Linked DNA regions of Drosophila melanogaster. The protein of the gene in region 1 purifies or fractionates together with the protein of each later gene. This does not show direct contact. Each region holds a gene or a part of one and is shown on either strand. Other genes may lie near its edges.

Evidence for each region.
Region 2: the proteins of beat-IIb (region 1) and side-IV purify together in Drosophila melanogaster (affinity purification with western blotting; one large-scale study listed by BioGRID). This does not show direct contact.

What each region holds. Positions count from the first base shown.
Region 1 is NT_033777.3:17,244,793-17,249,924, forward strand, and holds the start of beat-IIb (beaten path IIb), read right to left. Parts: upstream 3,086-5,132; 5' UTR 2,747-3,085; coding exon 2,479-2,746; intron 1-2,478.
Region 2 is NT_033777.3:13,448,562-13,453,666, reverse strand, and holds the start of side-IV (sidestep IV), read right to left. Parts: upstream 3,078-5,105; 5' UTR 2,739-3,077; intron 1,450-2,738; 5' UTR 1,237-1,449; intron 1-1,236.

The DNA.
Region 1 (5,132 bases):
ATTAAATGTTGAAAGCAATTTCACGCCCAAAACCGATTCACGCAAGCAAAAGGGTGTGAGCCATGTCCCTGCTTCCCCCCATGCCCCACCGTGTGCATCCCCTTTAATGTTTTGCGGTGCTTAAATAAATTTCCACAAAATGTGCGTAATTAATGCGGAAATCTCGGCAGGGATTCTGTAAATCACTAGCTATCAATTTGTCTGCCCTGCAATCGGCCTAAGTGAAAATATCACTGCGTTTTAGATACAGTTAACATGTCTAAAATAGGTGCATAATGTTCAATTGCAATTAAGTCGCTCTTAAAGCGGAAATTAGTTTATATTTTAATGAAAAGTGAACCATATTCTATCTTGAAATGTATTGGGACTGTACTAATTTTCGGCAAGTGTTCGTTTCGTCGATTGTTTGCAATTGCGGTCACCACCATGTTGCACGCACAATCTGACGCCTTTCGGTTTTCTTATCGACTGGCAGTGTCCATTGATTGCAGTTCATTAAGCACGCGCAGGCTCACGCATTTTCCATTTCCCTTCATTTTCCACCAACCCCGTTGGGTCACCTTGCTCAACACCCAGCACCCACTCCATTGCGTCGACACCTGATGACTTGGCTCATTAGCTGGGCATCCCGTTCGCACCTTCAGGCACTTGACCATGGCCAGTTGCGTCCTGGATGTTGGACGCTGGAGTCCTCGCCCCTGAGCTGTGCATATATTTTCATAATATCCCCATCTCACCTTCCATTCACCAGCCACTCCTTAAAGCCTGATTCCGCATCTTGGGGCCATTATTGTTGATTGCTTATTCATGCATTCAGTCATTTATTCATATGCCTGAATCTTGGGCGTTGAGAACTTTGCTTGTTTGCCTTGTTATCAAAATTAAACTTTCCACTTTCGGTTCTAAGGACTCGTCCTTCCTCGCTGATATTCCAATCATGGCCACCGAAACTAGCCGAAATTAATTGCGCTGCTCGGGCTGAGTGCTGTTTATATTTTAAATTAATTATAAATATTTATTTATCCTGATTAGTTAAGTGGGCGGTCGGACTGCCTGCTCGTCGGGGGGGCTTAACCAAATTGATTTCGGTTTATTTTAGCATTGGCCAGCGCTTTTGCGGGGCCATCGATTACAAAGCGTTGGCTTTAAAGCCATCCGACCAACCAATCAGCCAGCGGCAATGGAAACTCAATTGCAAGCTGTCCATTACTCTTGGTCCACACTGAGCGGGAAATGCGGTTTAAGAGGAAAATTCTAGATCTAGATTAAATCGAAGCCAAGTTTTGATAACGAACATCGGGTTTCTGGCTCACGGAAAATGTAGTTTATGTCTAATCACTTAAGATGCGCTTTTTCTATGGCTAATATATGTAATATCTATTAGATTAATTAGATAAAAGCAGTGCATTGCTGAATATTAAATATCTTAGGTTCTTAAGCAGTGTCCCCCCTTTTCGCTCAATGTACTCGCATCAGACTCCGCTGCCTTGCTAACCGGATCCATTTTTCCCATCCTGCTGTCTTGCTTCTCTTTGTGGTTTTCTATAATTGATGGCAGCATCAATTCCAAACGAAATAATCAAGCCATACAGGAGGACCACGGAGGATGGGCAAGAGGGCTGGCCACGAAAAAAAGCAGAGCCACAAGTGCAGACGGTACAGTGCAGCACATTCGTGTATGGCCGGCTCACGTAGCCCGATTTGCCATGTTCCTTCGCTGCATACTTTCGTGGGCCAAAGTTAATTTCAGGTTTAAGTGGCAGCAACTGCAGCTGCTGCAGTCGAATTATTGAAGCCAAGCAAAAAGCGAATGGAACGTATGGGACGTAGGGGGAGGGGCAAAAACGTTTAAATGAAAAACACGAGTCAATTTATATTGCGCTGACGTACCGCCCGACATTTTCCAACACCCCCTCACCCAAACTCGACTGCCATTTAATCTTCTTCCATTTCTTGGCGCTATTTTCAAATGTTTTTCTTTGCTGTTTAGCCATTTTTTGCTGCTGTAGCAGTTGGAGCGAAAAAAGAACCCAAAAGCAAGCTTTGTGTGTTGGTTTCCTTTTTTCCGACTGCCCATGTGTGTTTGTCTCTGCTGTTTTTCCTCTCCCTTCTACTTTTTTTTTCCTTTTATTTTTTTTTTGGTAAAGCTGTACAGAAATCTGCACAAAAATGCACGGAAATTCATCTTGATTTGTGTTGAGCGTTTTTATTTATTTTTTTCCGACTCCCCCCGTGTATATCTTTTTCAAGGGCTAAAACTGCAGCACTTTTTTTTATTCAGCACATCTCTATATCACTTTGGTTTGGCGGTTTGTCTTCTCCACTTTATCCCCAGCGTTTTTTGTGCGAGTTTTGCCCTGGGGGCGTGGCGCACTAAATCAGAGACATTTAAGCGCGTTTTGTTAAAAGTCACTTACTGCACTCGACCATGGCTCATTTGCCGCCTTCCACCACCTACCTACATACATATGTACTTACCACAGAAAAGGCACAGTAGCAGTAGCCACTGGATCACGTTGCTGCCGTAGTTGCAACTATAGTTGCTGCTGTTGCTGCGGGTGATTTTTGTGCGACAGCAACACCTACGCACTGCCGTTGTCGCAATCTCTGCTGATGGCAACATGTGACTGTGCATTTCCGCGTTTTCCAGCTTGCAGCTACAGTTGCAAGTTGCTGCTGGTTGTGCTGCCACTGCTGCTGCTGCTGCTCTGAGTGATGTGCTAAAAGTTGATAGTGTCTGCCACATTGTCAACGCGCTTGGACACTAATTAAGTGCGAAACGAATGTCTGCTTGTCTCGGCAAATCCTTGCTAAATTATGCTAATTTATATTATTCCCAGAGACAGACCGCTTGTGTCCGTGGTTCGTTGGTAATTTATACGAATATATTTTTCAAATATTTCTCAGAGTTGGCACACACTTTATTACGTATTTCGATTAGTTGTTTGTGAATTTTCATTTATATTTTGCACGTCAAACTCAAACTTTATGCCCGCCACTATTTCGATCTCTTTCCTCGCGAGATATTCTGTCTCTTTCATCGCCGCGATGCGAACGCGTCACGCAATCGTCAGAATTGCGACTGAATGCTCGAATGTTGCTGCTGTCCGTTGGTGTTGCTGCCGTCAGTTGATGTTGATGTTGCTTTCGCCGCCGCTGCTGTCGCTCGGCAACATGTTGCCTGGAAAACGTCGATGGCTGTTGTCTTGCAGTTGTTCTTCCGCGAAAATGTTTGTCTTTTGACGTTTATGGGGGATTTTAGTGCGCCTCCTAATTACTTCATATGCTGCTCCAAAACTACGAACTGCAATGTCTGGAAGAAGACGGAGGAAAATGCCTCAATTAGTTGTTGACACAGGCAGAAATATTAATTTTATTGCTGTCTCGTAAAGTGCACAAAGTTACAAATAAAAATTCCAGCGATCGTCACGTGCCGCGACCCTTTTCCGGATTGATTTATGCGTTCAGGGACCCGAGATAGCAAAGTATCGCGACCCCACCCTGCCCAATGACCTTTCCCCAATCGGCGGGGGACTAATTAGCAGGCCGTCCACTCGAAGGCATCCAATTTGGATTTGGTTATTTCGCCGGCCGCCAGCAATCGGGTTTTGCATTATTTACGACTTTCCCCAATGCTCAATTATGCGCTTCAATGCAGGAAGCCGCACATTTGCCACCAGTCCTTCAAACTACGAGCATGCCCCTCACCATCCAAAAAAAAAAAGAGTTCTTCTCTGCTCCGCTTCCTGTTTTGGCATTGTTCACCAATTGTTTCAAAAACAAAGAAGGGCATTTTGTCCAAGGCGCACGTAGAGAAAAGGGCCACTACCTAAATTTCCTATTACTTTCTATAGTGTTTTATTAATCGCTTTTCGATGTAAACTAAAGTTAACTGATGACTATTATTAATGTAAACTCCAATAACATAATTTTATAAGTAACATGTTGATGTGTTTTCAATTAACAGAGCTATATTTGCAATGATAACATAACATTCTAGGAAGAAGAAAATGTATAACCTCTGCAACTATTATTTACCCTGTTACCGTTTGCTTCTACTAACATGCTTTTCTCTCAGTGTATGCAAAGTTTGGCTAATTGCTGGGGCAGCATCAGCATTGTTCCATGCATTTCCAGCTGACGGAAAATCGTGCGCTGAAACCAAAAATCACTTCCGCTTGGTCATTGATTGGTGGGTGGGGCAGGGGTAGCAGTGGGTTAAGCCCAGCGGTGGGTTAAGGGGGATATAGGCCTGCACTTCACACATCATTTCCTCTGCTCAACATTTATTATGCCATTTGTGTGAGACCGAATTGTCACAATTAGTCGAGAGGCGGGTGCGAAAGGGATGGATGTTGCGGCTCTATATATAGACCGTTTCCCCCCTGTTTTTTCCACGGCACTTTCCTCCACTTTTCCCACTCGTACTCATACCGAAGTGCCCTCCGATTCATTTATAATATTTTGTCATTGTCTGGCCGGCGTTGCTGCATTTTATTAATTTGTTTGTCATATTTTCACGTTTGTTTATTGATTAAAATGTGTGCACAGGCGTCTGACATTTTCTGGTTGAGCGATGGGTTGAAAGGGGAAGGGAATGGAATGAGATGATTTTGAGTCTGCTGCCAGCCGTTGTTGTTGTATCTGCGGTTCTTTCTGGCTGCTGTAAACATGTGTTGCCGGCAACATTATCACTGCTGTTGCATTGTTATTTTTATTCCCTGTCTGTTTCCACCAACTTCCCCTTCCCCCATCGCTACTCTTCCCTGTAGCGAGAAAGCCCCTGTCTGGTATTTTAAATAAAACATCATTTTTTGTAATTGTTGGCTCGGCGTGAAACATTCTATTGCCCCATCGCTTTCCCTCCCAGTTCTTTTGTTTACCTAGGCTACAGTTGCAAACATTTTCCTTTTCCCCACTTTTCCCCAGCTCATCCCCGTTTGTTTGTACAAATTATTATGAATGATAATTTTGTCTGTCGCATTTTTCATGCATTTTCCCCTCTCTGACGCTTTTATGGCCAACATTGTTGTTTTTATGCCTGTGGCTTTGTTTTATGAATTTTATAATTAATTGTGTTTGACATATTTTATATGCTTGTGCTGCTTTCGACTTTTTTGTGCCTAAATGAT
Region 2 (5,105 bases), 3.8 Mb from region 1:
TGGCTGCCACTTAAAGTCGCTAAGCGATTTCTAATGGAAGCAATTAAAACGTCAGCCCCCGCCAAATATATTACCCTTTCTCCCAGCGGAGAATCCGCAGAAGTCGTAAACTTGATTTCCTATGCACTCAAATCGGTGGCCCCATGGGCGCTTTGTTCGCACATGGAGGTGCGAATTTTTCAGCCTGAAAGCAGATCAACGATATTTGCATACTCCAACAAACTAAAACTAGGGATGCCGTACGACTATCTGCGGGGAATTGGAGGTGTATGGGGGACTCGGACTCATCGTCGGCATTAATAAGTATAAATAACTCTTTGATGGGCAGCCGGTCGTGAGCTGGCCGGCGACTTTAGTTTGTTTAGTTTGCTGGCCATTTGTACAAAACACCTTTAGCTTCTACACGAAATATGACAAGAAATCAACCGAAACCGGTTTCGGCGTTCGATGTAATGTGATTTTTGTGAGAAATAGCCAGAAAAAAGCCCCACACTGGAAAAAATATTGTCCTAGGCTGACCAAGATATTATTTAAATAAAATGAGTACAACATATTTTATTTTGAAAACATTGCGGTAGCACAATGCTTATAAAGAAATGCTAATTCAATATGATGAAACGTATTCATTGGAATCTTCTTTTGAAAAATTCGTAAGCATTTCTAATCTTAAAATATGTGTTTTTCGACTTTTGACTTTATTACGATATAACTGGTTTCACATTATGGCTAAGCACACAATTGTTTTAATGGATTTCTGCTGTTGTACTAGACACGCTGACATTTAATAATTTTATAAGAAAAAACAATTATATTTCTTGCAGTGCATAGGAAAGCCGAGGAAAAGGCAGCAGTGTACGGATACGCCATGCTTGAAATGCTAAAAGATGTTTGTGAGCCCCGTTTGCTGGGTTGCCGATGTTGTCTCTGTTGCCGGTTGCTGTGGTGTTGCTAATTAAGATTACAGACATCGATACTTTTCGAAAAGCAGTGGCACGTACACATATGCTATAGCCTTTAGCCGCCCATATAGTATAACCCGATATGCGAGTAGCAAGATGGCCAGAAGCAAAGGCAAGGCAAGGCATCGGCTGATAGCCTCCCTAAAGTGCTACATCAACGCCGAGTGACAGCGATGAGGCTGTGGCTCCTGGCTTATTAATTATGTAGCTTAATTTGCGATTATGCAGATATGCATGAGCATAAATTTTGAGGGAAATAAGCAGCCAGATAACTCACCTGCTAATGTATGTGCATATATCCCGTCCGATTTCATTCAATATTCCATGTTGTTTTTATACTGCCCTGCTACAGTTTGCTTCGCGTTGTTTGATTTCGATTCGATTTCGACTATGCTTTTGGTTTGGTTTGGATTTGTTACTTTGTTTTATTTTGTTGGCCAGCTAGTTTTTTCTCTAATGAGCCGCAGACACGCCGTCTGAACGGATGAATCTGCGATGAAACCGAAAGAGATAGATGGTTAAGAAACCCGAACCTCTTAACGAACTTGAAACTCGCACAAAAACCAATTGCACTCTTAATTGGCCAAGATTTACGTTTCGCACCTCCCTTGGCAATTTAGTTTTGATTTCGTTAAGCTCACACTTCATTTACTATATATCCATACATATATATACATATATATGTATGCACTATCCGCACGTTTGTCATTGTGGCCAAGTGTAATCAAGTGCCGTGGAGGATCTCTCGAATCTGCTCTCGTTTTGACAACTATTACCATAACAAATCAGCGCGCCTGCCACTGACAGGGCCAATTGAACTGAACCGCGCACAGGGAGCGATGACAAAAAAATATTTACACGGCGCCCGACTATCGTAGGGCCGGGTTAAAGGGACATCTGATTGTGGAAGGTGTCTGGAGGGGAGTGGTTCAGGGATCAGGGGAAATGGCAACGAGTCACCAAACAACGACGCCCGTGCCGAGGCCATATCCTTGCAGCCTTGTAGTCCGTATTCCTTCTCTCTGTTTTTTTTTTTTTGTTGTATGCCACAGTCGTAAATTCCAATTATCGACGAACTCGAGGCACGGCACCGCAAACCGAGCAGCCAGCCCTTCCTTCGAGTGGAGTGGATCCGCTGAAGTGGTGGCAACTGGAGTTGGGAACTGGGGGAAGCGGAAGGGAGCTTGGAACCGAAGTGGAGCAATTTTCAAAGTCAGCCGCGGCAACGTTTGTTGCTATTTTAGTCTGCCGGGATTTTCATAAGATTTTTTCCGCTTTTATAAATATTTCTTTTTCCATGGCTAATCCTTGAGGTTTCAGACAGAGAATTCAGCCGCCCGTTGTTGTCGTGGTTTTTAACAAAATAATTTAAATACTTTTGCAGCAGTTCTTGGGGGCTTGGGGGAATGCAATTATATAAAGGCTTCGAACTATTTTACTCAAAAACTCAGCAATACGAAATTTGCTTTACGTTAATTGAATAAATTCCAATTTGGTAGGCAATATTTTACTGCATTACAAGTTTAAACCATGACCTTTTTCTTATGTTTTTTAAATTTATACTCAGCACTCAAAGTATTATGATAAACTTTAAAGGGTCATTGGAGTTAGTAAGCCACTGAGTAACTTTACAAGTTTAATTTTTCAATAGCTTTTAGCACATGTTTAAGTCAGAAATTAAGATTTCGTTTTTATTGAAGAGATTTTGGTAAATACAAGGCCCATTAGAGATTCGAGTGCTGTTGTAAACCGGTAAGATTTAATCCGACGATGCATTACCACTTGGCCAATGGTTGGGATTATACTTGGCTTGGCTCCTTGAGGCCACACACTTTTGCGATTGCTTGTATTCATTCATTAGGGGTATATTTGCATTTATCACTTTTGATGGTTTTTGGGGTTTATGATGGTTTTATTAAGCACTTGGCCACCAAATCCTGTATCCTGAGCACAATGCCAAACACCTCTTCTATGGCTACTCACACAGATACACCGCACTTGTGCGTTTGCAGAGCCGACTTCACTTGTGTGTGGGTGCGAATACGCGTTGGTGTGCGTTACGTTGCGAGTGTGTGAGTGTACGAGTGTGTCCGTGTTTCGGTGTGTGTGTGTGTATTTGTGCGAGGGAGCGCTTTAAATGGAAACCCTGGTGCGAACGGATTGGGCTACATTTCCACTTGGACCGCTCGCGTTTTCCGACAGCAACATGTGTACCGTTATAGCTTCGCGTATCTACTGGATACCCATCGTCGGAGTTCCACTCGTCGATGCGTTTTCCTCGCGACGTCTGCTTTGATTTGAGTTCGAAACTCGAAATTCGAATAGCCAGCCGAAGAGAAATGCCCGAAAGAGCGAGCCACACGAAACTTGGCATACGATATTCGGATCTTAACAGCGACCTATATCGTATGCGTATGCCTTTAGCCCTCCTGCTTTAAAAGCCACTACTAAAAGTGGTATTGACAAATTTCCTCTTCTTACGGGTCGCCAACAAAAGAACCCACCACCCACTTTCTGCTTATTTATGCGTAAAGATTGCCCCTCAATCCGGAGATATTCGCTGCGATGGGCGATAAAAGTTGTCGCTGTAAAAGTAATTAGAGCTAGACACGATTACACCATGTTCCATATCGGCAGCAGATACTCCCTGCTTAACAGATGAATAATCGTTTTGGCAAATATTCGCGGATGTTGTTGGGGGATTTCCACATTAAGTTAGGCCCAAGTATTAGGCCTGCTTGACTTGAAAGTTGTTGCCTAGATGATAGAAAAGCATTTTAAATTGCTATTCAGCGATGGCAAAACTTATGAAGATATTAAGAAACCTTTGTTTATTTATTGTCTATAAAATTGGACATCTAATTTTTTGTATGTAGTACATTAGCTTACTACAATTTGGTTTATAGCAACATTTTAAAATACACTTACAAAGGAAACTTAAACAAATTGTATTATAATCATTCTTCGATTTTTCCTAATAGTGTTTTTAACCTAAATACTTTATTTAAACGAGCATCTTTTAAAAGATTTTCTTCGAAAATGTTAAGAAAAGAAAATTCCAATTCGGATTTTGTTTTATTGTTTGAATGCAAACAGCGGTAAATGGATTATTTTTGTTTAAATTTGTACTTCCTGCATGCATCCGCTACATATTAAGAAAAATTACACCTTAGTACACAGCAAATTAAAGCCAAGTAAAATATTTTTCAAGCACTGGAAAATGAGGCCTGTCGGAAATGAGCCTTCGCGATGAATAATAATCCCCTAGACAGCCAATTGGAAATTAATTAAATCGAACAATATTTGCTCGCCTGAATTATTCACTTTTGCGGCACAACATTGCGCCTTAATTCAGATTCGACCAGAGCAGATGTTATTCATCATGCGAGTGCTGCTGCATTGTTGTTCTTTATCAAGTGATTGATGCGCAATATCCACACAATTTGATATGGAAAGGAAGTAGTAAAGAAGCGCCCGAGCAATTTGCGCCCGGCCAAAACCAAACCAAAAAGCCAGAGAAAAATCCCCGCCGAGTGCAGTCACCTGGGATTGGGGAATGGTGAATGGTGAATGGGGGATCGAACTCCATTGGGTGCCCGTGCCTGGCCTGGACTCGAATCGATTCCCCTCCCGTTTCTATGGAATCTGCGTCGGGTCGGTGCCGTGCTGGGCATTAAATCGTTAAAGTAACATATACAAATTAATGCAAACAAATACACGAGTGCCGCATGAAATGCATTCGACTCCCAGACATTTCTCTCCAATGACCTGACCGTTTGGTGGTGCTCCAGATCTTGTCAATAGTTACGACTTTCCGATGTGCCACGGAATGCTAAACAGATCAAAAGCCTGGCACGTGAATGCGCCGCGCCGCATCCCCCAAGATAAACCGACTCCCAAATATCCCGAAAAACCTGGACTGACAGCCACGAGGTGTGAGAATTCTCAAGTGAGATGGCAGTGCACTCAGCCCCAGTCGCCAGCACACCAGACTCCCACCACCGCCCACTCCCATAAGTCCTCTTCCAATACACTGGGGAAAAATAGTCAAAAATAACTAATTAGAAAAATGAAGCACTGGAAGAAAAGTATATTTCGATTGTCAGTCTTGCTAGCCCATAAATAAAAACCTTATTTGTGCTGTCA